3 linked regions of the Caenorhabditis elegans genome follow. The protein of the gene in region 3 purifies or fractionates together with the protein of the main gene of each other region. This does not show direct contact. Each region holds a gene or a part of one and is shown on either strand. Other genes may lie near its edges.

Region 1 (6,660 bases), on a different chromosome or scaffold from region 3:
TGAGATTTAGATAGCACAATAGTAAATACATATTTTTCAAAATTTTTAATACATTTCCAGATGGGTGGACGCCCAATGACTGGAATGGCAAGACCTCCAACAGCCGGATTGAGACCAGTTACTCAACAAGGATTACGAGCTCCTCCGTCAAGAATGGGAACTGGAAGTATGTATATTCTAGACTCCATTCTAAATTTTAATCAAACATTTTCCAGACTCCCGTCAAGTATTTGACAAATCATACTACATCGGAGTTCTTCGAGCGAAACAAAACGCTATAAAAGTTGAAATATCTCGTATGAAAGAGAAACGAGATAAAGGAATAAAAGATCGAAATGAGCTACATGCATATGAATCAAGAGCATCTGCTCAAGCACAAGAGATTAGTGATTTGCAAGGAAAATTATTGGATTTGAATAAAATAATGGAAAAAATTCATTTGAATGGCGATATGTCGGATATTGAGTTAGAAGCAAGCAAAATGAAGGAACAAGCTGATGAGGTTAGATTACTGTAGATGAAAGATCACTTTAAGTTATAATTTATATAATTATAGATGAGATCATTAGCTGAAGAAGTATTTAATGAACGTCGTGCAAAAGAAGAGGAACTTCAAGGATTGGAAATAGAAGTTGAAGAACAAAAAAAGTTAAATGAAGCAGTAACACATGCAATGGATCCTCAAATGAAAGAAAAATATGAAGATTTAAAGTCTGAAGCGAAGCTTTTAAGAGAAAGAGTTGTAGAAATGGAAGCGAAAAATGAAGATTTAGATGATAGAATTTCAAAATATGAAATTGAAATTCGAAGTAATCCACTGAAAAAGAAGGCAATCCAACTACAAGAAACATTGGATACACTCAAAAAACAAGAGGAAAAACTAATGGAAGATATGCAAAGTGCACTAACACCAGAAGCATGGAGAGATAAAATGTCAGAAAATATGAAACAATTGAACGCAGATTTGGTTGTGATTGAGAAACAACACAAAACTGTTAAAGATCAAATTTCATTGGCTTCAGAAGAATTACACGAGTATGACTCACAAGGAGAAGCTCAAATCAGTACGTTTCCTTTTTTTGATAAGAAACTATTGTGCATTTGTGTTTGGTATTTGGTATTTGAAATGACGTATCTATTAAATATGTCATTGTTTTACCGCAAATAATTCTTCATGGAATTGTGCGTACACGGTCTTATAGGTGGAGTAGAGTTTGTTTTATATGATAGATAATGAACCTAAGTTGGCAAGGTTGAAGTGGCTTATGTAATTTTAATACATTTTAGAGCTGTAAAAATTTTAAGCACTACAGTCCATTTTCAATCATTTGAAACAAAATACCCACAGACACTAATCAATACATTCAATATGGCAATACAATATCAATACGTTCAAGTTTGACCATTATGGGATTTGAAAATCTGAAAATCTGAATTTTGAAAACATGACATGCAGATCACATTAAAAGTTAGAATCGAGTTTCAGAATTCAAAAAATAATAATATTTCAGTGGCTCATCACACAAAATATCTTGATCTACTTTCGAAAAGCACAATGCTTGACGATACGACTGAAAATTATCCACAGCAAATTGTCATTTATCAGCAAGACATTGAAGAATTCTCCGACGCAGTTGTACTGATTTTGAGAAAAATATCTGCCAATTTGAAGAAAGTGAATCTAGAAGATCAGATAACTGATTTAGATGAACGAGGTCTCACTTTACAGACCGGAAATGTGGATGAACTTAAAGAAAGTAGGTTTGATGAGCGATTAAAAATAACCCTCATTAAAAAATATTATTTCAGTGCATGTTCGACTTCAAGAAGAGCTTATATCAATTGAGGATATGGAATTGGCGTTAAATGAAGAAATTGATAATTTGGAAACTGAGGAGAAAAAAATAGATCAGGAATTGGCGGGAGTCGGGAAGAATGTAGATTCAGATGGGCTCCGACAAGAGCTTGAAGAACGTCAAAAAAGGCTTGAAGATGAAGCTCCAGCTCGTTCACATGAAATGCAACAGTTAGAAGCAAATGTAGCAAGTATAAGAAATGAACTTCATTCAATTCCAGGATACTCTCAAGTGAGTCGATATGGTTCTATATTAGTTTTACCAATTATAAATTTATTCCAGCACAAAATGCTTCGCGAACGACTGGAAGCTGTTGAGAAACGTACTGCTGCAAAATCACTTGACATGAGCTTGAGGAAGACTGAAATTGACTACGAAGATATTAAAACAGAGGTGTGGATTTTTTCCTAATCGAGTTAACAATATTTTACTTAATTTCAGAGCATTCGACTTCAGGAAGAATACAATAACATGCTTTTGACCAATCCATTTCAAAGATTCACCTGATTTATTAATTTTTCACTAAATTTATTTATTAAATTTACATTGAATATGCTGAACTGTTCCTGAAACAGCAAAAAAATTATTGGAAAATACTAATTAAAAAATTGAAAAATCTTTGCCTACAGTAGCTTTAAGGAACACGACAAACTTTATCTGAACATGTCTCGTCACGACTACCGTACCTTGAAATTTTCCCGCCCGATTTTCGCAATTTTCTTGCTGATGAATTTCTTTGTTTCTTTCCTGATTTTCTCGATTTTTAATCGTGTTTTTGTTTTTAGAATTTTTGGAAATTTGAGGAGAAGATATATATCAAGTATGAAGCACCCTTTCCGCAAGGTCGCCGTAGTTCCTTTTTTGTTTCCGTCGTTTTACCCTTTTCGGCGATCTTTTTGATTGATAACGTTTAAGTAAGGCTAGTTTTAAATTGAGTTTTCTCAATTTTTCTTCAATTATAACATTTCCATCATTTTTGCAGTCAAATAATATTGTAATTCTATTTAAAATATCGTTTGATTATATTTTGAGAACCTTTATTGATTGACTGTTAAATATAACGAATATATTCAACAGCTTAAACAAACAAATAAAATAAGTTCTATCTGCGCGAAAAGCTACAAAGGATACGAAGAAAAGTCAAGAAATCAATTCAAAAATTATGCCTAATTTTACATAGCCTTTTTTTTTGCTTGATAACGATATATTCACAACATTTTCTGGCTAAAGAAAGGTGGAAACGTTTTGTTGTTCTTCCAAGTTGTAGCTCGGGGGGCCGAAAAAAGTAGGCGCGATGCGGTCGACCGCGACGCAACTCATTTCTCTGCTTCTCTTTATTTCAGTAATCTTTGTTTCGTGGCGTGGTCTCGAGAAATAAATAGACGCAGGGTGTGGTGAGAAAATTGTCCGCAACCACCGCCCGGCAGCTAGATATTGAACCAATATCTCACGATAAACTTTTACCCTTTGCATACATGCTAAAATGAGAATTAAGAATACAGTTTTTATAGTAATCTGAACTTTTCGTTTTTTAAATGCCTGATAAGATTAGTTACTCGGGCTTCTGCCACGTAACATTCGTCTCTGCGTATCTCATCTTTGAACAAGCAATTTTCGTTGGCCGAGGTTTTGCGCTGCGGTCAAAACTAGGCCTTTGACGAGTTACACAAGTTGAATCCTAAACATTTTCAATCTGATCATGATAGAAACTTCTCGAATAAGCCTTTTGTCTTTTTTTAATCTCATTTTTGAAAAAAGGATATTGAAGTATGCGTTTCAATTATATTTCGTTTTACAGAACTACTCAAAATGTCGTCAGTTTCGTCCGCCGAGCCAACTGCTCAACAAAATTTCAATCCAAGCTGGTATGTGTTTGAATCTTAAAAAATAATTATTATTTAAAATTAAATGGAGTTTTTTCCAAGTAATCTAAGATATTTTTCATTTTTAACCTCTAGTTTTGAATCATAGAGCAAATGATTTTTAAATGCGTTCTTTTCAACTAAGAAGTTTATCGCTCGTATTTTTTTGTTAAAAAGGCTCTACTCGATCGTGTTTGTAGCAATATTAAAAGAAAAATAAAATAAATAATGCCGAAAACCAAAATAAAACCCAAATTCTCAAACTTGTACCTTTTTTACCACAAATTTGCTGACTGCAGCTGAAAAAATGAATAATATGAATTCCAGAATATAAAAGTTAGCAAAATCAATTAGAAATCCAAGCCACAAGTTCTTTCTTAAAATTGCGTTAAAGTCATTTCAGGATGCGTCCAAATGCTGCTAACCGTGGTGGCTCAATTTCTTCGGGAAACAATCGTTCCTCTGGATTTGGTGGGGGTGGATTTGACGATGGCGGCGATGTGAGTTTCAGAATCTACGGGAAAAAACCAGCACGTTCCACAAATATATTCTTAGCACATCTCATAATCTAGAAATTTAGAAAAAAAAGGAAAATAATTTATTTACAATTTTGTGTTTATTGGGTCATGGTCCCCGTGGTACCCGGTTTTAATATTATAATCGTCTGTCACAACATTACATCAAAAACTAAATAATTATGAATTTAGATTTTAGAATATACCTCTCAAAGTCGGGCTATCACTGACTCCCTCCCTCCATGACAAAAAACTCTTATTTTTAAAAAAAACTGAAAATGTGTTCAATTAGGAAATCTCCTCTTCGGCAATCGCTGCTGCAGCCGCCGCGGTCCTCTCTTCGCCAGTGGTTTCGGAATTCTCGTACACGCGCGAACGTCTTCTCGAGCTGGCTCCAACCGGATCGATTATGCCTGATGCGTTGCGCGATCAGCTATTTTTCAACGAGAAGAACCTGCCGCTCGTCTCGAACACGCCTCTCAGTGAACATGAACAGGTAGGGATACCACAAGAGTTTTAGAATTAGAAATAATGAAATTTATCCCACTATTGTCTGACGATTTCCAATTTTGCATGGTACTTTTTTGATAATTGACAGATTTGTTTAGGATCTATGTTTAGGATCTATATTTTATTATTCGTGTGCACATTGTATTCTAGAATTTGATGTGAACTTCTATTTTATCCAGTTTCACTGACTCTTTCGTCTAAACAAGAAAAGTATAGTGTGTCCTTGGAGGGAGGAAGGCATAGCGAGACTTTATGAGGCTCTTTGCTGTTCGTATCCCACCATTTCACTTTCCTAATGATCGGAGTAATTTGTGTTATCGAATAAGTTTATTTGTTAAACACTTTTAAGTTGAAAATGCTTAGTTTTTTCGTTTCATGTTTATGTTCCGTGGTAGAGTAGTTATTCTCTAATAAAATTTCTAACAAATCCTATTCATGAAAATTATATATTTCATTTTCAGAAACTGCAACACAACATAAACTCTTCGAAAGCAATGTCTCTTTTATCGCACGCTGATCGAGCCTCAATTGCTGCTGGAGCTGCTTATGGAAGTGGATATGGAGCCGCTTCCGGAGCACTTCAAAACGGACAATCACCAACCAGTCGCTGGGCTCCGAAATCATCTTGGAGTAAGTGTTGCGAATTTTTGTAATTAGACTTTGATACATAAAAAATAAAAACAATCTAAACAATATTGTTTAGATAAAGGCACACCGGATCGTGGCACCGGTACAACTCCTCGTGGTGGTGGATCTGTTGGTCGAGCAAGTGGAGCATTCTTTGCAGGCCGTGGTGGCGGACGAATCGGCGGAGAAAACGGGTTTGGCGGCGCGACCAATGGTGGCTCGCCAGCTGCTCAAAACGAAGATTCTCCTGGAACATATCAATCAAAGTTCAATGCACTTCGTCGTGGCGGTGGCGCGGGAAGCGTCGGTCGTGGTGGCAGCACGACGGGTTCAGCTTTTAACACTAGAGCTGACGCTTTGTACAACCCGAACGATCCAACTGGTAAGTTTTAAGGAAATTTTCTGATTGAAAATATGATCGGTATAGATCGTCCAAAGGCGGTGAATCCTGCTGCAACTCGAAGCGAGAGCGATGAAGAAGAGGAGGAAGGATGGTCGAAAGTTGGAAGTACATCTCGAACCTCCACCAATGCGGCCCCTCAATCATCTGAACGTCCTGCTTGGGCTCGTTCTGAATCTTGGATTCAACGTACACAGCAACAACAGCAACAACAACAGCAGCAATCGACTCAGCAGCAAGCACAACCTCCAATTACTCTGTGGAATAATCGAGAAGTTGGTTCTGATTCAACTGTTTGGAAAGATCGGAATCACATGGTTGCTGCGGTTAGAAAGGCATCCACAGAAAATCATCCACCACAACAACAACAGCAACAACAACAACGTTCATCTGCTCCAGTTTCTGCTCCTTCTCGGCAAGAGAGTGAATCAACGGATGTTCCGAATCTTCCTATTCCTACATATCCTTCTGATCCATCAGCGTGGTCTAATAATTCGATGGGAGGTGGTATTTTCTATCAACCAACGCCACAGCCACCAGCTCCGATTGTAAAAGAAGAACCTGTTCAGTTTTACTACATGGATCCAACAGAAACTCGTCGTGGTCCTTTCCCTAAAGATCAAATGAATGTATGGTTCAAAGCGGGTTATTTTACGGATGAATCACTTCGAGTTCAGAGAGGCGAAAACGGAGAATATAAAACGATCGGTAAGTTTATCATATTTTTGCTTTAAAAAAATAATTAATTTTCCAGGTGACCTCAAAAAATTGCATGGATCCTCGACGCCATTTGAATATTTGGAAGATATTGAGCCTCCACGCCCAATTTTGCCGTCGATCCCTTACCCGTCCGCGACGAATCCTTTGTATCCAGCTGCATTTGGTGGAGT
Region 2 (4,746 bases), on a different chromosome or scaffold from region 3:
CGTGAAGGCGACTCTTTTGTCATTTGCGAGCAAGCAGATCAACCGTTTTGCAGGTTTTCGCAACATTTCTTATCAGCAACTATCAACAAAAATGTTTGATTTTTTCAGCAGTCAGGTGCAGAACCTGTCAAATGCCGACCATGCACATTATTTTAATATGGACTTGTACAGATGGTCAGCTGATGGATGTCCGAAGAATAAGGAAGATTACAGGCCAATTGCAGAGAGTGCGGTTAAAAATGGGAAGACGTTCAGTTATGATCTTTTGATTGTGATATTGGGTGCTGTAATAATATTTTTATAAAAAGCATAATATGTACACCAAGTATTTGTCAATAAAAATATATTCTTATTATTACATCGGAACTTTTAAAAAGTTTGCATTTTCAGGAAAAATGTACTACAAATTTGGAAAATACAATAAATGGGGGACAGAGATATAGATAAATAAATAATTCGCAAATTGATAATTCATCAATAATCGTGATCCAATTACCGTATTTCATTTAACAAATTATACTAATTTGACAGCACAGATATCAGTTCTTTTTTTTTGACACGACAAGAGAACCAAGAAATGAACTGCCACAGTTAACTGCAGTAGAAAAAACACAGTATTCAAGTCTCCTTCTCAATATCCTTCAATTTCTTCTTTTTCTCTGCTTTCTTGCGTTCTTGAATCTCTTGAAGAGCCACCACCAACTTATCGGCGTCGATCATTTTTCCAGGATATCCTGTATTATTCACAACAACTTGTTGCTGTTGCCGTCTTATTTCCGCTTCTTTTTTCAGTCGCTCTTCTTCCTCCATTTCACGCTTCTTCTTTTCTTTTGCTCCAAGTCTGAAAAATTGGATTAAAGGTGTTGTAGGGTCAGTACGGATGTTTTCTGCATTCAAATAACAAAATAATAAACTCTTAAAATCTTTGCATTTTTTGGAAACTTTGTTCATTGCTTCAAAAAATGAAAGTATAGGGAAATAAGTGAAACTATTTATAGGTGCACATCACGCTCAGCGGACCACATAACTTCATATACTCGCTAAACTATTCATTTCGAAATTAATTTCAAGCCCTGATTTTCAGAAAAGTACCACCACAGAAACTAATAAAACAAAAACATACAAAATATCTTCTTGCTCTTGTTTCATCTCCCATGGATCTTTTTCTGGACCATCTCTCCGTTGATTATTATAACAATTATTTAATAAATGTTCTCTCCAATTCTCTTCATTATCCTCCACTGCAATTGTGCACAAAGGACACCATTGTGCTCCTGTCGGGGGACGTCTTCCACGACACATTGGATGACTTCCTCCACGTTTTTGATCTTCTTTCTCAATTGCTAATCCACAGTCATTACAAGCTTCCATCGTGTCTTGGAGAAATTCACAACGATATATTAAGTGATCAGTGAGTTGAGATACCTAAATGGAAATTTACGATTTAAACCTGAAAAAGAGCCTACCATTGTCAACTTCATACAATACTTGCAACTTGTCATAACTTTGCAATATTTAGCAAAGTGTTTTTCCATTCCACCTGCTCTACCAAGACCTGACTCTGTTAATTGACAATGTGGGCATCTTCTGGAAATTAGAAAATATGTAGAAATTTATATACATTTAGATCTCTTCCCTTACCCCACATATGTTGGCATTTTATATGGATCATCCTGAACTGTGGATCCTCCTGGCAACGGAGTATCGACTACTGGAATTGCCTCTGGAACGTGTCCGATAGTTGAAAGGCGCTGATTTTTTCTAGTTGTTTTTGGCTGAAATGTTACTTTATTTTTCCAATATTTATTATTTTAATGTCAGTCTACTTTTGATGGTTCCGTTGGAATAACTCTCCGTTCTGGGGATCTTGTGGTTGCCTTTGACGTCATTCTTTGATCTCCATTATCATTATTTCCTCTGTTACTTTGCCTACTTTCAGTTTTTCTTCCTTTTGGTGTTTCAGCTCTTTTCCTAGGTTTCATAGGTGTCATTGGCTTCCAATCATCTGATGGCATTGGATTCTTATCAGGTGTCCATTTTGAATTGACTCCAAATGCTTTCATAGTTCCATCTTCCATCATTAAATCTGAATATGCATTTCTGATTGCATCAGACTTCACTCTATCCATATCCTTTGCTATCTGTTCAGCCTGCCGTGAGTCTCCTCTGACAACTGCGTCGCTTCTCTTGTGACTCAAATCGACAAGTTGTTTCTCGGCTTTTGATAGATCATCACAAGCTGATTGGCACAAATGTGATTTGACAGGTTCGTCCTTGTCACGATGCTCAAGGGACATGACTCGGAGATTGTTACGGAGAGTTCGGACTGATGCCAATGGATCGGCTCCAACATCTGAGCTCCGTTCGTCGTAGCCTTGCATTTTATACTCATTTTTGGGTCTGCAAGGTATCTAGTGAGGTAACGGATCATGAAAAACTGCACGATGTCTAGGATTTTGAAAGCTATTAATACAACTGACTTCTGACAATGAATCCAGAAATCAAAAAAGTACTTACAATCCATAATCTCCAATCTCTTTCTTCTCTTTTTCTTTTTCTTTGTCTATTGGCTTGAATCTTCCACCATTCCTCGAGCTCGCACGACTTCCCATTCCAGCAGCATTCCGTCGTTCTTTGTAATCGTCGTACTCCAGATCAAAGTTCCTAGATGACGACATTGGGGGAAGAATAATAGTTGTAAAAAAATATTTTGAAGAAAGTTTGGAAAGAAGGACGATGCTTGGAGCTAATCTATAATTCCCTTTTCTTTACATTTTTTTTGTTGGGTGTGTTACTATGGAAAGGAGAATAATGAAATGTTGAAAAGAAACAAATATACTAAACAAAAATTATATCGAAGGTTAAAGGAAAGCAGGTGTTTTGAGTAATACATTCTTCAATTAAACACTTTCAGGCGTAAGGAAGGCATGCAACAGGCATGTAAATAAGAATGTTAGTTGGGAAATATGATGATCGTGGGTCTGTCTACCTAAGAGCCTGCATGTTAACCATTTACCTTCGTACATGCCTATTCTGACCTTTCTCTTTGCCGGATGTTTGTTTTTAGGTTTTGGTCATAATGTTGACATCAACCTTTGGCATATCTTATTGAGTTTGTTCTCTTTGTATTTTTTTTCATACAGTTTCGGATACGTTTTCCTGGCTAGAGTTTCCCAGGTATGACTACTTGTTTGATTCTAATTGAAAGGTCACTTTTGTTTTTTATGTTTTTTAATGAATTAGTTGGTGTTTGACTTGTTTACAATTGTCTGATACACCATTTGTTTTGAAAATGATATACTTTGAGGTAACAAATAATCAGATCATCTCTTAGTATATTTTCTCGTACAGGTGTATATAAATTGATTAAATCTACTTATTTTCCATGGAAACTAATACAATTTGTGGACTACAACCACACTTTTCTGTCAAGCTTTTTTTTTATCAAAAAGATATATAACAACAAATCTCTCTTTTTTTCCGAATTATCTTCTTTTTCTTATCTTTTCCTGAGATTTCGTAAACATGTTGTTTTCTGAGAGCATAGCTATTGGTTCTTTGTTGGTTCCATTCTTCCATCCCGGCCTTTTTTACTTTATCATTTTGTTCTCAACAAAAGAATTTCAGAATGAAGCTTATAATCCTTTTGTGCCTTGTTGCCTCAAGCTATGCTTTAATTGGAAATACCCAATCGGCTGGAGTACGTGGAAAACTGATCTGCAATGGAAAACCAGCTGTTGGAGTTTTGGTCAAGTTGTATGATGATGATAGAGGTAATCAAAAACTTTTTTGAATATTTCCTAAAAGTCTATTTCTAGGAATCGATGCCGATGATTTGATGGCTTCTGGAAAGACCAATGGCAACGGAGATTTTGAAATTTCTGGACACGAAGATGAAGTGACTCCAATCGACCCAAAACTTAACATTTACCATGACTGCAATGATGGAATTAAGGTTTCTGGATGACTTTATTACATTTTAAGATAATTGAATTTTCAGCCCTGCCAACGCAAGTTCACTATCAAGATCCCAGATAGCTACATCAACAAGGGAAAGGTAAGAAGATTAAAAAAACTGGAAGTAAACTGAAATTAATATTTTCAGACTGTCCGTAATATTTACGATGCCGGAGTCATTCAACTTGCTGGATCTTTCCCAGGAGAAGGACGTGACTGTCTTCACTAAACTTACCAACTTATATATACTCTTTTTTCTTGAAATAAATCTTTTTAAAATAACAATTTTGGATTGCAACTTCAAATTTTTCAGAGAAAACATTTCGATCCTATTTTCTATAAAAATAAAGTATAACTGGAATATTCAGGAATGCAATAAATATAGATATTTTCCCTATAGTGCAAGAATCACAGGGGATACTGCAATCCTCGAAAACACATTTTATCCGTGATTTCGAATTTTAAAAAACTCATTGAAATATTTAAAATCATTCCTAGAAGATTATCGTTGTAAATTTTATAAATACCACCAATTTGTGCTGGATATTGAATTGAATTTTTTTAATATCGACAGTAATCTACTACGGCCAACAATTTTCGTACCGTCACTTGGTGTAATGTCCGCAAACACCACCACGTCGGAATGCACAAACTGGCCAACACGCATTCTTTTTTATTGTGTCTTCTTTTTTCTTTTTTAAAGTTATAAATATTGACGTTATTTAAAGCATAGAATTGTGAGAGAATGGAAAAACGCATCTAAATACTTTGAAATATAATATTCTCTTC
Region 3 (11,284 bases):
ATTTTGTTATTTTTTAATAAAACTTTTTCACTCAGCCTCTTTTGGGAAGTGGAGCAATAAATGACTGGATTATCGGCCACAGTCCTCGGCTAGGACATAGCTTAAATTATAGCCCAGTGGGATCACCACCAGGTAGTGTACCTGAATCCTAGATCCGCACTGCATTGCTTGAAAAACGGATCGTTCTTTAATCGTCTTTGTAAATTTAAATTTCTCTGTAAGCTGGAAGCTGTTTGCTGTAAGTTCTAACAAATTCAGGAAATCACTACTAGAATACTTGAAAATTTTTCAGAAAAACTATATACCAGTTGCTGCAACAAAAAAGTTGACGAGATATCAGATTTCAGCAAAATGAGGTGTTTTTTTGAAACTTTGACCCGCCATAAAAAATTTTCGGAATTTTTCAAGAGGTCTTTTTCATGAAATTCCGCCGTATTGAACGATTTCTAGTCTATAAAAGAAAAATACCCACAAACTGTACTTCCCTTTTTATATTATTTCAAAGCTTTTCCCAGAAGTTTCAGTACCGACTAATTACAGATTAATATTGCAAACAATATTTGGAGCACAAATGATGGCTCTGTTTACAGAAATTAATTTTCGAAATGGAGCAATGCGAACGATGTGATGCACATCTCATCTAGATCATACGATACATTGGTCATAAAACATTTTCCTATTTTTGGCACAACTAACTCATTACACTTGTCGCACACTCCATTTTTGCGTGACAGATAGTAAACAAAATACTCCCGATGATCATTGAAACCGCCACCCGCAACCTCAAATTTGAAAAAAAAACGAGGGCAACAACAGAGAAGGAAGAAGTGAAAACCGATTCGTATTTGGTTGGCCGTCCGCAGAGAAACAAAAATTCCCGCCGCTCATGATTTCACTCAAAATTGGCCAGTCGAAAACTCGTTATTTTTTTTGTGTTTTTTTCTCCCAACTCCCTCTTCCAATTGTTCCAAGTTTCTATTCTTTAGAAGTTGCAATTTTTGGAGAAACTTTCTTATTTGGAAGTTCGCGTGCATTCACAAAATTAGTGTTTTCCTAGATCTCTTTGTTCCAACAAAATCAATGTTTCAATGTTTCAATTGCTATAATTGCATTAAGGGCATTTAGATGTAGCGTTCAAGTTGTGGTAATTCTATTGTAAGAAGGTTTTTGCGACAATTGAAAACTGTTTACATATATTCAGAAAATTTATAATTCGATTGAACCTAATTTGATGTGTATAAAAATATTTTGAAAAAAAGTGTAGAAGGAAATTGTTTCAAAATTATAACTTATGATATTTTCACTTCGATAATTTTGCTTGGTCGTTTTAAGGAGAATAATAAAGATAAGTTTATTTTTAAATTATATAAATGCTAATAAACCTTTTTTTAAAGATATTTTCTGAATTTTAAAATTATAGTCAGAAAATAAGAATAAACATTGAATCGGCAAAAATAAAATCTGCAAGGTTTTAACACATTTATCTGGATATTATTATTTTTATCGATGTTTTTTAACTGGGATGAATATTTAAAAGGTGGAGTAGTGCCTGTGAGCAAAGTGTGAAAAACTACTTCTATGGTGCCAAAATGACCGAATATCATAATAAAACATTTCAAAAATTTTTTGAAATGTTTTTGTTTACTGTCAAAAAGTGACAATTAATTATCAGTTTTGCCACTCGTAGTTTTGGAAGTCGACCAAAAAAAAATTGTTTTTCTCTATTTTTTATATGGTGATTTTGTTTTAATTATTCGGTCTAAAATATTGTTGGGGTCGAAACATGCGACATTGCTTTGGATTTTCTCAAAAGCTCATATTTTTCCAATTTTGGCAATTTACAAATTTTTTTTATGAAAAACCTGAAATTTGTTGGAGTGTTTTATTATAATATTTGGCCGTTTTGGAATATTATAAGTCTATTTAGACTAAATTCCCACTGACGCTACTTCACATAAATTTTTTTTTCTTCAAATTCTTGCTCTTTTTGGAGTCATTTTGAGCCTACCTTAATTCATTAATTTATTGTATGAATATTGAATTTTTTACCAACGTTGTATAAAATCCCTTCCGCGACTGTCATCAATATATTCCTTTTCGGCTCTGCCCTCATTTTTATTTCTGAGCCCATTCTTACTCAAAACCGAAATTCCAAGTAGATTTCCAAGTCAGAAAGTTCCGCGGAAAGCGGTAATCCCACAGCGATTTCTGACTTGTTGTTTTTAAAAACACTCCAAAATTCGTCCCCCTGTCCTCTCTCTTTTTTTTTATGCTGAGTGCCAATTATCTTCTCCTCTCTTCTCCTACCTCCAAACTCGCCCAAAATCTGCACCTACTACCCGTGTGAAAGTACGAAAAATTTCGACAAAGAGACAAACGTATGAGCAAAAGGATGGCGGCAAATGAGGAGAGCGGAGAAGACAGGGGGGGGATGACGGAATAAAGAGCCCATAGCAACGTGTGCAAATGGCAGATATGGGGGGAAGAAGAAGAGGGTGAAGCATTTTGATGTGTACATACGAACAAGACAACAAAGTTTCGGTGCCATGCGCTATATGAGAGCAGCTTGTTAAACTATTCCATATTAGACATCAAGCCAAAAATGTACGCAGTTTTTCCGTATCTCTCTTCCCGTTTTCCCCACTCTCTTCATCCTTCTCTTTCTCCTCGGTTTTCCTCTTCAAGTCTGCTTTATTCATCTAAATCTATTTTTCATTCGCAAGAAAAGAAGGATGTTTTTTTTTCTTCTATTCTGCCTATTCCATGAAAAATTTTCTTCGTTCTTTTCACCCATTTTTTCTTTTTTTTTTTTGCTTTTTCGTCACCTAGCCAAAGATATTGGTATTGCTCATGAGTTTATACATATGTCAGAAAATTTTAAAATTCCTTATTTTAAGATTTGAGATCGGCTTCTTTTATTCGTGTTCCCTTCAATCATGCGTTTGGTAAAATGATTGTTAGCAATTATTTGTAACTTGTGAATCAGATTTTCTGAAAACAAAAATCTTAAAATTTAGTTTACCAAGTCACTATTGTCAAACATTTCAAAAATTTCTTAATCATAAAGTACATAAACCATCATGTAATGGAAGTATACGAGGCTTTGTCAAAGGATTATTACTTATGAAAATAATAATAATTGTATGTTTTTTTTGCAGTTGGAAAATTGATTATATTTACAACATCCTGAGAAGTGAATCAATTATGAATAGTCTCAAGCATGTTGAATTATTTTTTTTTACAAAAAACAACAAAATACTTGTTTCATAACCCTAAACTACACCTATAAAGTTTCATTAGGTTTTATTTAAAAAAAAAGCTAAACCATTCAACTACAAACTTTAATGTCAATATGATACAATTTTTAATTAAGGTATTTTATTTAGGAAGTATAAATTAATTTGGCCGCTAAGTTCCCAGTCTAATAGTAAAATGTTCACAATTTTCAATTATCAGTTCAAAATATTGCTTTTCATTTTAATAAAACTCCAATTTAAAAAAATATTAAATCAAAATTCGAACAATCTGTAGTTCATCTCCTGTTCATAAAATTTCAGTTAATGTCATTAGAGTTTGATAAATATGATTTTCGTTAACGTTAGTGATAAGAAAATAGAAATATTTTGTTCTCGTTTAATAACTTTTTTCAACAGACTTAGGATTTCTACAAGAACTTTCCATGGTTTTTGATGTCTCAGTTTTTTTTTTTTGGAAAACAGCCAAACAACAACTTGAAAACACGACGTGTTTGTTTTCAAAAAAATAAAATTGAAACGTTTATTTTATTTTTAATAAAATTGACCGCCGAAATTTACAGTTAAACTCGCCCTTTCCTGCAATTTTCTTTTTGTCGGCACAATCTGATGTTCGCTATAATATGGCAAATTTCCTTTACTCGAATGTTTATTCAGCACATTAATGCGCTTTCGATAAACATATTGCGACATTCATCTTATCACTATCATAACTAACAACTCTTATTCTTATTCTTTTTTTTGCCATTGAAAGTTTTCGGCATGTCTATCATCATTTCAAAACTTGACAGCACATCTCATCAATTTTCCATTTTGAACCAATTGTTTTCAGAAGTCTCATGTCTCACGGGGCCAAATGCATTTGTCAAATTTGCACATGCGGGTTGGTTTTTGTTGTGTTAGAACACATGAAATTGGTATGAATGTTTCAGGCGTCACAAGTGTCCACACGATAGGAACGCAAGTAGTTTTCAATTAGGAGATGGAAAGACTGGCTTGAGTCAGGAAAAATCAATTACTCAGGTAATCCTTTTTTTACACTATGATACTAAAAAAAAATTTCATTGGTGTTTTTCCAAAACACATAACTAATTGCGAGAAAATTTTGCTTTTTAGTGGTGCACGTCTATACGCCAAAAAAAACACGAGATATGTACATATAAGTTGTCCATTAAAAATTCATTCGAATATGATTACTTTTTGAGTAACGTTTTTACCAAAGTAAGAAGATTGTAGAAATGCATATTTATCATGCAGAATTACTGACGACTTCAGATAAACTTTTAAAACATTTCTAACTTTCTAACTTGCAGACTTCCTTCGAATCATCAAGCTATCATCAAAAATCACAACGCACAACACCAACACGTCATTACTCAACAATCTCATCCTTATTCACAGAGGAAAATAACACCGGAACTGGTGGAACTCAAACAAGAAATATAAAATCATCAGAGTATCGAGGTGAGAGAGCATTCAAGAAAACATCAATTTTAATACTCTTACAGCAAAGACACAAAATGGAGAGCAAAGTGTGGCAGAGACAAGGTCAACACAGAGAGAAACTGTTCAAGTAAGTGAGAGCTTCAGGTTCTTAGGTAGTACTTAAAAATTGTGTTTACGCATAATTAGATCAACTAAAAAAAGGCCAAATTGCTTCACAAAATTTCTTGAAAACTTTTATTCTATAACTCCTAATTACTTTAAAAAATTTGTGCAGTTTTATAACTTTAAGCGTAACATTTTCAGCTACCACCAATATTGAAAGCCGACAATGGTCGAGCAACATCTCAGTCTGGAAGAGAACGAAATAGTCGGAGTTCGATTCAACAAGCTTTACGGCAGCACAGCGAAGAACGTGCAAACTCTGCAGAATCGAAACGGCAATCGACTTTAACGGGTGCAAAGAAAACTGTGAGCATTAACGAACAAATTACTGGATATCAAAAAACACATCGAAATTCAAGTCAAGTATTCGAAGCGAGGAGGCTTCATCAGGTATAGTTAATAGTGAATGATGGACACTGAAGAAAAAATTACAGATAGCCGAGTTGAAAGATAACAGTAACAGTGGCACATCAATTGATAATGCAAAAGTGCAAACGCGTGCCGAGAAAAATGGAACAAACAACCAACAACACAAATTAATCGAAGTGAATGTCAATCGAAACTACTCCCCCAGGAATAACAGTCAAATTAACGAACTGTTTAAAGAATCTGGAGCAGATCGAGCAACATCGTCAAAGAATACAAGCAATAAAACTCCGCAGGACAATATTAATTCACCAAAGTATTCAAAAAAACAAGCAGTCAAGGCGCACGACAGACACAGCGCCACTCACAGAGAAATACATGGGAAACAAAATATGGCACATACAACTCAAAACCAAGAAGACTTTATTTATCGGAAAGCTGAACATACCCAGATTAGACATCCTTCGGATCATCACATATTGTATTCCCAGCAATCAAGAACATCCACCAACAAAACTGATCAACAAAGTAAAACTCAGAATCAAGAAGATTACACTCATATCAGTGGAGAGCGGTATGCCAAGAAGGTTCCATCTGACAATAAGATCCTGCAAGGAGCTGGTCAACAGTTCGAAGCAAGAACTCAGAATCAAGAAGACTTCACTCACATCAGTGGAGAGAGGTATGCCCAGAAGGTTCCATCTGACAATAAGATTCTGCAAGGGGATGGTCAACATTTCGAAGCAAAGACACAGAACCAAGAAGACTTCACTCACATCAGTGGAGAACGGTATGCCAAGAAGGTTCCATCTGACAATAAGATCCTGCAAGGAGATGGTCAACAGTTCGAAGCAAGAACTCAGAATCAAGAAGACTTCACTCACATCAGTGGAGAACGGTATGCCAAGAAGGTTCCATCTGACAATAAGATCCTGCAAGGAGATGGTCAACAGTTCGAAGCAAGAACTCAGAATCAAGAAGACTTCACTCACATCAGTGGAGAACGGTATGCCAAGAAGGTTCCATCTGACAATAAGATCCTGCAAGGAGATGGTCAACAGTTCGAAGCAAGAACTCAGAATCAAGAAGACTTCACTCACATCAGTGGAGAACGGTATGCCAAGAAGGTTCCATCTGACAATAAGATCCTGCAAGGGGATGGTCAACATTTCGAAGCAAAGACACAGAATCAAGAAGACTTCACTCACATCAGTGGAGAACGGTATGCCAAGAAGGTTCCATCTGACAATAAGATCCTGCAAGGAGATGGTCAACATTTCGAAGCAAGAACTCAGAATCAAGAAGACTTCACTCACATCAGTGGAGAACGGTATGCCAAGAAGGTTCCATCTGACAATAAGATTCTGCAAGGGGATGGTCAACATTTCGAAGCAAGAACTCAGAATCAAGAAGACTTCACTCACATCAGTGGAGAACGGTATGCCAAGAAGGTTCCATCTGACAATAAGATCCTGCAAGGAGATGGTCAACAGTTCGAAGCAAGAACTCAGAATCAAGAAGACTTCACTCACATCAGTGGAGAACGGTATGCCAAGAAGGTTCCATCTGACAATAAGATCCTGCAAGGAGATGGTCAACAGTTCGAAGCAAGAACTCAGAATCAAGAAGACTTCACTCACATCAGTGGAGAACGGTATGCCAAGAAGGTTCCATCTGACAATAAGATTCTGCAAGGGGATGGTCAACATTTCGAAGCAAGAACTCAGAATCAAGAAGACTTCACTCACATCAGTGGAGAACGGTATGCCAAGAAGGTTCCATCTGACAATAAGATCCTGCAAGGAGATGGTCAACAGTTCGAAGCAAGAACTCAGAATCAAGAAGACTTCACTCACATCAGTGGAGAACGGTATGCCAAGAAGGTTCCATCTGACAATAAGATCCTGCAAGGAGATGGTCAACAGTTCGAAGCAAGAACTCAGAACCAAGAAGACTTCACTCACATCAGTGGAGAACGGTATGCCAAGAAGGTTCCATCTGACAATAAGATCCTGCAAGGAGATGGTCAACAGTTCGAAGCAAGAACTCAGAATCAAGAAGACTTCACTCACATCAGTGGAGAACGGTATGCCAAGAAGGTTCCATCTGACAATAAGATCCTGCAAGGAGATGGTCAACAGTTCGAAGCAAGAACTCAGAATCAAGAAGACTTCACTCACATCAGTGGAGAACGGTATGCCAAGAAGGTTCCATCTGACAATAAGATCCTGCAAGGAGATGGTCAACAGTTCGAAGCAAGAACTCAGAATCAAGAAGACTTCACTCACATCAGTGGAGAACGGTATGCCAAGAAGGTTCCATCTGACAATAAGATCCTGCAAGGAGATGGTCAACAGTTCGAAGCAAGAACTCAGAATCAAGAAGACTTCACTCACATCAGTGGAGAACGGTATGCCAAGAAGGTTCCATCTGACAACAAGATCCTGCAAGGAGATGGTCAACATTTCGAAGCAAAGACACAGAACCAAGAAGACTTCACTCACATCAGTGGAGAGAGGTATGCCAAGAAGGTTCCATCTGACAATAAGATCCTGCAAGGAGATGGTCAACATTTCGAAGCAAAGACACAGAACCAAGAAGACTTTATACATAGAAGAAACGAGAGAGTGATTAGATCAGTTCCTATTCAACACAAAATTTTATCATCGGAGGGCCGTAAATTTGATGCCAAAACTGTGCACCAAGAAGAGTTTGTTGATTTGACAAGTGATATCGTGGCACAGAGCGGAATAATCTTGAAAGCAAAACGAGACAGCAGCTCAGTTGCTCAAAGTCGATCACATATCTATGAGACTTCCAATTTTATGGAAGGTTTGTTATTTTCTGTTGTTTTCAGTTCAGTTGTGAAGTGCCAAAATTGGCAATGTCGTTTTTTTTCAGAATCCGAATCCGGTTTCGAGGGATACAGCATTTCTTCCGGTTCAAGACTGACAACATCTCATCACGCAGGGTACCTGACTCAAAACGCTGGTAGTAGCTACGACATTGTATGTCTTATTAAAGGTTTTGAAAAATGGTCCAATAGTTATATTTCAGGATTACCAATACCGTCCAGTTCCATGTATTGCTGGTGAACTCCTAGAATCTGTCAAGCGAAATCATGCAAATACCGAACATTACAATTACAATGCTTGTGACAGTGGTCACCACTTCTACAAGGAAAAGGCAATACTGGAAGAGGAAGAGACGCAAGAATCCGAGAGTTCTGTTATCAAAAAATAAATCAAAGTATGCATGTATTATGCTTGTGTTTTTTATTTAAAATTTGTATAGTTTTTCTTTCAATTGTTTGTAATAAACTTATATGAAAAAATTGTCAGTTGTAATTTTCACATAATATTTCTACTGCAAGATTCAGTCTTGTTGATTATCACTTGTCTCGACGTTTTCTATTTTTATCTATTTTTATTTGTGGTTCTTTTACTCAGCAACACTCTAACATCCTGCTGCCCTCAAAATGTGCAGTTATATCACCTTTTTTATCTCTCACCTAATCGCGTGTATTTTGGGATATTAAAGATGCAATTTTTTTTCAGGAATTGTTTTTTTCACCGACACACTGCTAGAACAAAAATAAATAAAACACGTTTTCTTATGTACATATAACCGTAACTTTTTAAATTTGCAAATCACTCCAGAGCTGATAAGAAAGTTTCGAAAAAGCAGTTAACTTTGCAATCAATGATCCTACACATTATCTACATAGTCTTGCAAAAACTGCTGTTTTTGAAATGTTGTCTCTAAATTTCCCAATTGATACATGATGATATCTCACATTCAGTGTGATGATGATGATTCAAGTTGTTTCTTTTCCAATTATGTTTTTATTCTTATTTCCCATCTTTAGTGGAGTCCTGTTTTTTAATGAATGATTCGTTTTCCTCTCCGGCTTGTGACACTGTCTGACCTGATTCTCCATCTTCACTGCCCCCCCCCTTATACTCCTTCTTCCACGCACTTTTTTATCTTCTCCCTTTTTCTCCCCATTTTTTGCATTGCAACAAACATGGGCAGTGTTTCACATTTATATCATCCTCTCGCTGTGTGTGTTTTCTTTTCCCGAAATTGCGAAAAATTGGATACAAATCTAGCAAATCTAATTTCCAATCGTCTCTGATTTGATTTCAACTAACCTATTCTTCCAAAAACTCAAACTGACGAACTCTCAAATTTGAAAATTGTTTCAATTAGCTTCATTACTACTGCTTGATAACTAGGAGTTCTAACTATTCATATTTTTGAAATAGGAGGTTTTTTTTGTTGAGAACTTTTTTGCTAAACTTTGCCAGTTCATATCCCTCCTTTCCGTCAAATGTTTAGCACCGAAAATCGTTTTTATTGTATGTATGTATCATAAAAATAAATTAATTGTTACCTTTTGATTAAAGTTTGACCATTAAAAAATTCAAGAAAACGACTACTATGTGCATAAATCAGGGGTGGTCGGCAAACGATTTTTCAGGAAAATCGGCAAATCGGCAAAGTTGGAAAATTGACGGAATTAAAAACTTATCGCGAATCGGAAAACCGGTAAATTGCCTATATGTCGAATTTTCCGGAAAAACGACACTTGTCGAAAATTTTCTGCAAATTATGGTTTTGCATATTTTTTTGGAACTTTCTGAATTTTAAACGGCATAACTATACGCAGTCTATGAATGTTCCTGTATTTATTTTGAAAAGTAAGCAAATTCAATGGAAATATCTATAAAAACGGGCAAAAAAATTCAATTTTCAAATAGGAACAGTTTTAGGTGTTTCCGTCTTATTGAAAATCCTTCTAAAGACTTTTGGCAAATTGATGTTTGGTAAACGAGCAAATCGACAATTTGCCGAAAATTAATATTTCCAGCAAATCGGTAAATTGCAGACCTATCGGAGCATACAGTGGGCAGCCAATAAGCACATTTTCCGGTTTCAGATCTCTGTTGAATATAACTGATAGAGCTTGAACTAAAATTTTATTACACCTTGTTCTGCCAATAATCCTGAATTTTGAGCATTTTCCAATTTTCATAAAAAGTTTAAAACTTCACAAACAACTAAAAATCTGTAAAATCGAATTTCGAAATGTTTGTTTGAAGTAATCCGTCGTGCTAATCATTCTTGTCAATCACACGAAATGCAAAACATCTGGATTTGATGAGAATAGTGTTGTGGTGTAATAATGATTGGGGGTGAATCGGGGGCAGCTGCTTGATGATATCCACACGGATTAGTTTTCATTTTCATCTTCCTATCAAATTGTTGCGATATTATCACCCCCCCCCCCCCCCCATTTACAACTCCCGCAGGCCTTCATTATTTCCTTCTCAGTCGATACTGTTAGTTGTGGTTGAGAAATAAAAAAAAAGTGCAAGACATTTATTCATTGATTTAGACTTAATCTTAATCATAACCTTTTTTCTGTCTCGACGCTCCAGCATTTTCTTTTATCTCCCATCAATTTTGTCTCTGCATCCCACATCCTCCATCAGTGTCAAGATGTTCGATGGGAGGGTTTTGTGTCCCGCAAAAAATCCATTTATTTTTTATGATCCGCTGTCACCGAATGGCGGAATGAAGAGACCTTCGAGACACCAACTGACATATTTCTCACTAGAAAATGATTATTTTGTTTGATAGTTCTTCCGCTATCCTGCTATTTGTTTTCCATGAATAGGATAATACTGGTTGCAAACAAAAAAAAACACGATACAGAGAACCATGAATTATTTTGCTTGAGGAGTTGCACTCTTACGTCTAAATATCATGACATTTGTAGTTATGACGGGGGAACCCGCCAAGAAACGAATCATATATTTTATCAAAGCATAGGACAGAAAGATTTAAATGGGATTTTTTTATTTCGTTATTTTGAAACAGATGTTTCAAAAGATGATTTTTTAAGTGAAAAATCAAAAAAAAATTCGTTGAAAACAACAGGTTTTAAAAAATTTCTGGTACTTGTGTATTACATGCCCTCATTTTAATAGTAATTTTTAAGCCATGAAAAATAAAAACGTGAACCACAGTTTGTATTTTTAGGCTTAGGA

What was found. The genes of interacting proteins can lie anywhere in the genome.
Region 1: the proteins of H03A11.2 (region 3) and gyf-1 fractionate together in Caenorhabditis elegans (co-fractionation; one large-scale study listed by BioGRID). This does not show direct contact.
Region 2: the proteins of H03A11.2 (region 3) and ttr-5 fractionate together in Caenorhabditis elegans (co-fractionation; one large-scale study listed by BioGRID). This does not show direct contact.

What each region holds. Positions count from the first base shown.
Region 1 is NC_003280.10:6,680,584-6,687,243, forward strand, and holds the start of gyf-1 (GYF domain-containing protein gyf-1), read left to right. Parts: upstream 1-3,654; 5' UTR 3,655-3,665; coding exon 3,666-3,721; intron 3,722-4,112; coding exon 4,113-4,218; intron 4,219-4,525; coding exon 4,526-4,729; intron 4,730-4,949; exon of another isoform or gene 4,950-5,098; intron 5,099-5,204; coding exon 5,205-5,373; intron 5,374-5,446; coding exon 5,447-5,752; intron 5,753-5,797; coding exon 5,798-6,478; intron 6,479-6,524; coding exon 6,525-6,660. Other genes in the region: ift-74 (Intraflagellar transport protein 74 homolog), read left to right, coding at 61-166, 216-502, 557-1,064, 1,512-1,757, 1,810-2,087, 2,139-2,249, 2,298-2,363.
Region 2 is NC_003281.10:9,326,689-9,331,434, forward strand, and holds ttr-5 (Transthyretin-like protein 5), read left to right. Parts: upstream 1-3,627; 5' UTR 3,628-3,628; coding exon 3,629-3,773; intron 3,774-3,818; coding exon 3,819-3,955; intron 3,956-4,000; coding exon 4,001-4,057; intron 4,058-4,105; coding exon 4,106-4,186; 3' UTR 4,187-4,240; downstream 4,241-4,746. Other genes in the region: C40H1.7 (Fungal lipase-type domain-containing protein), read left to right, coding at 1-53, 109-304; cepr-104.1 (CEntrosomal Protein Related), read right to left, coding at 619-841, 1,124-1,425, 1,467-1,587, 1,642-1,775, 1,827-2,400, 2,518-2,678.
Region 3 is NC_003284.9:15,223,431-15,234,714, reverse strand, and holds H03A11.2 (NLPC_P60 domain-containing protein), read left to right. Parts: upstream 1-4,069; 5' UTR 4,070-4,093; coding exon 4,094-4,137; intron 4,138-4,186; coding exon 4,187-4,277; intron 4,278-4,567; coding exon 4,568-4,718; intron 4,719-4,762; coding exon 4,763-4,827; intron 4,828-5,003; coding exon 5,004-5,252; intron 5,253-5,296; coding exon 5,297-8,060; intron 8,061-8,129; coding exon 8,130-8,236; intron 8,237-8,285; coding exon 8,286-8,471; 3' UTR 8,472-8,846; downstream 8,847-11,284.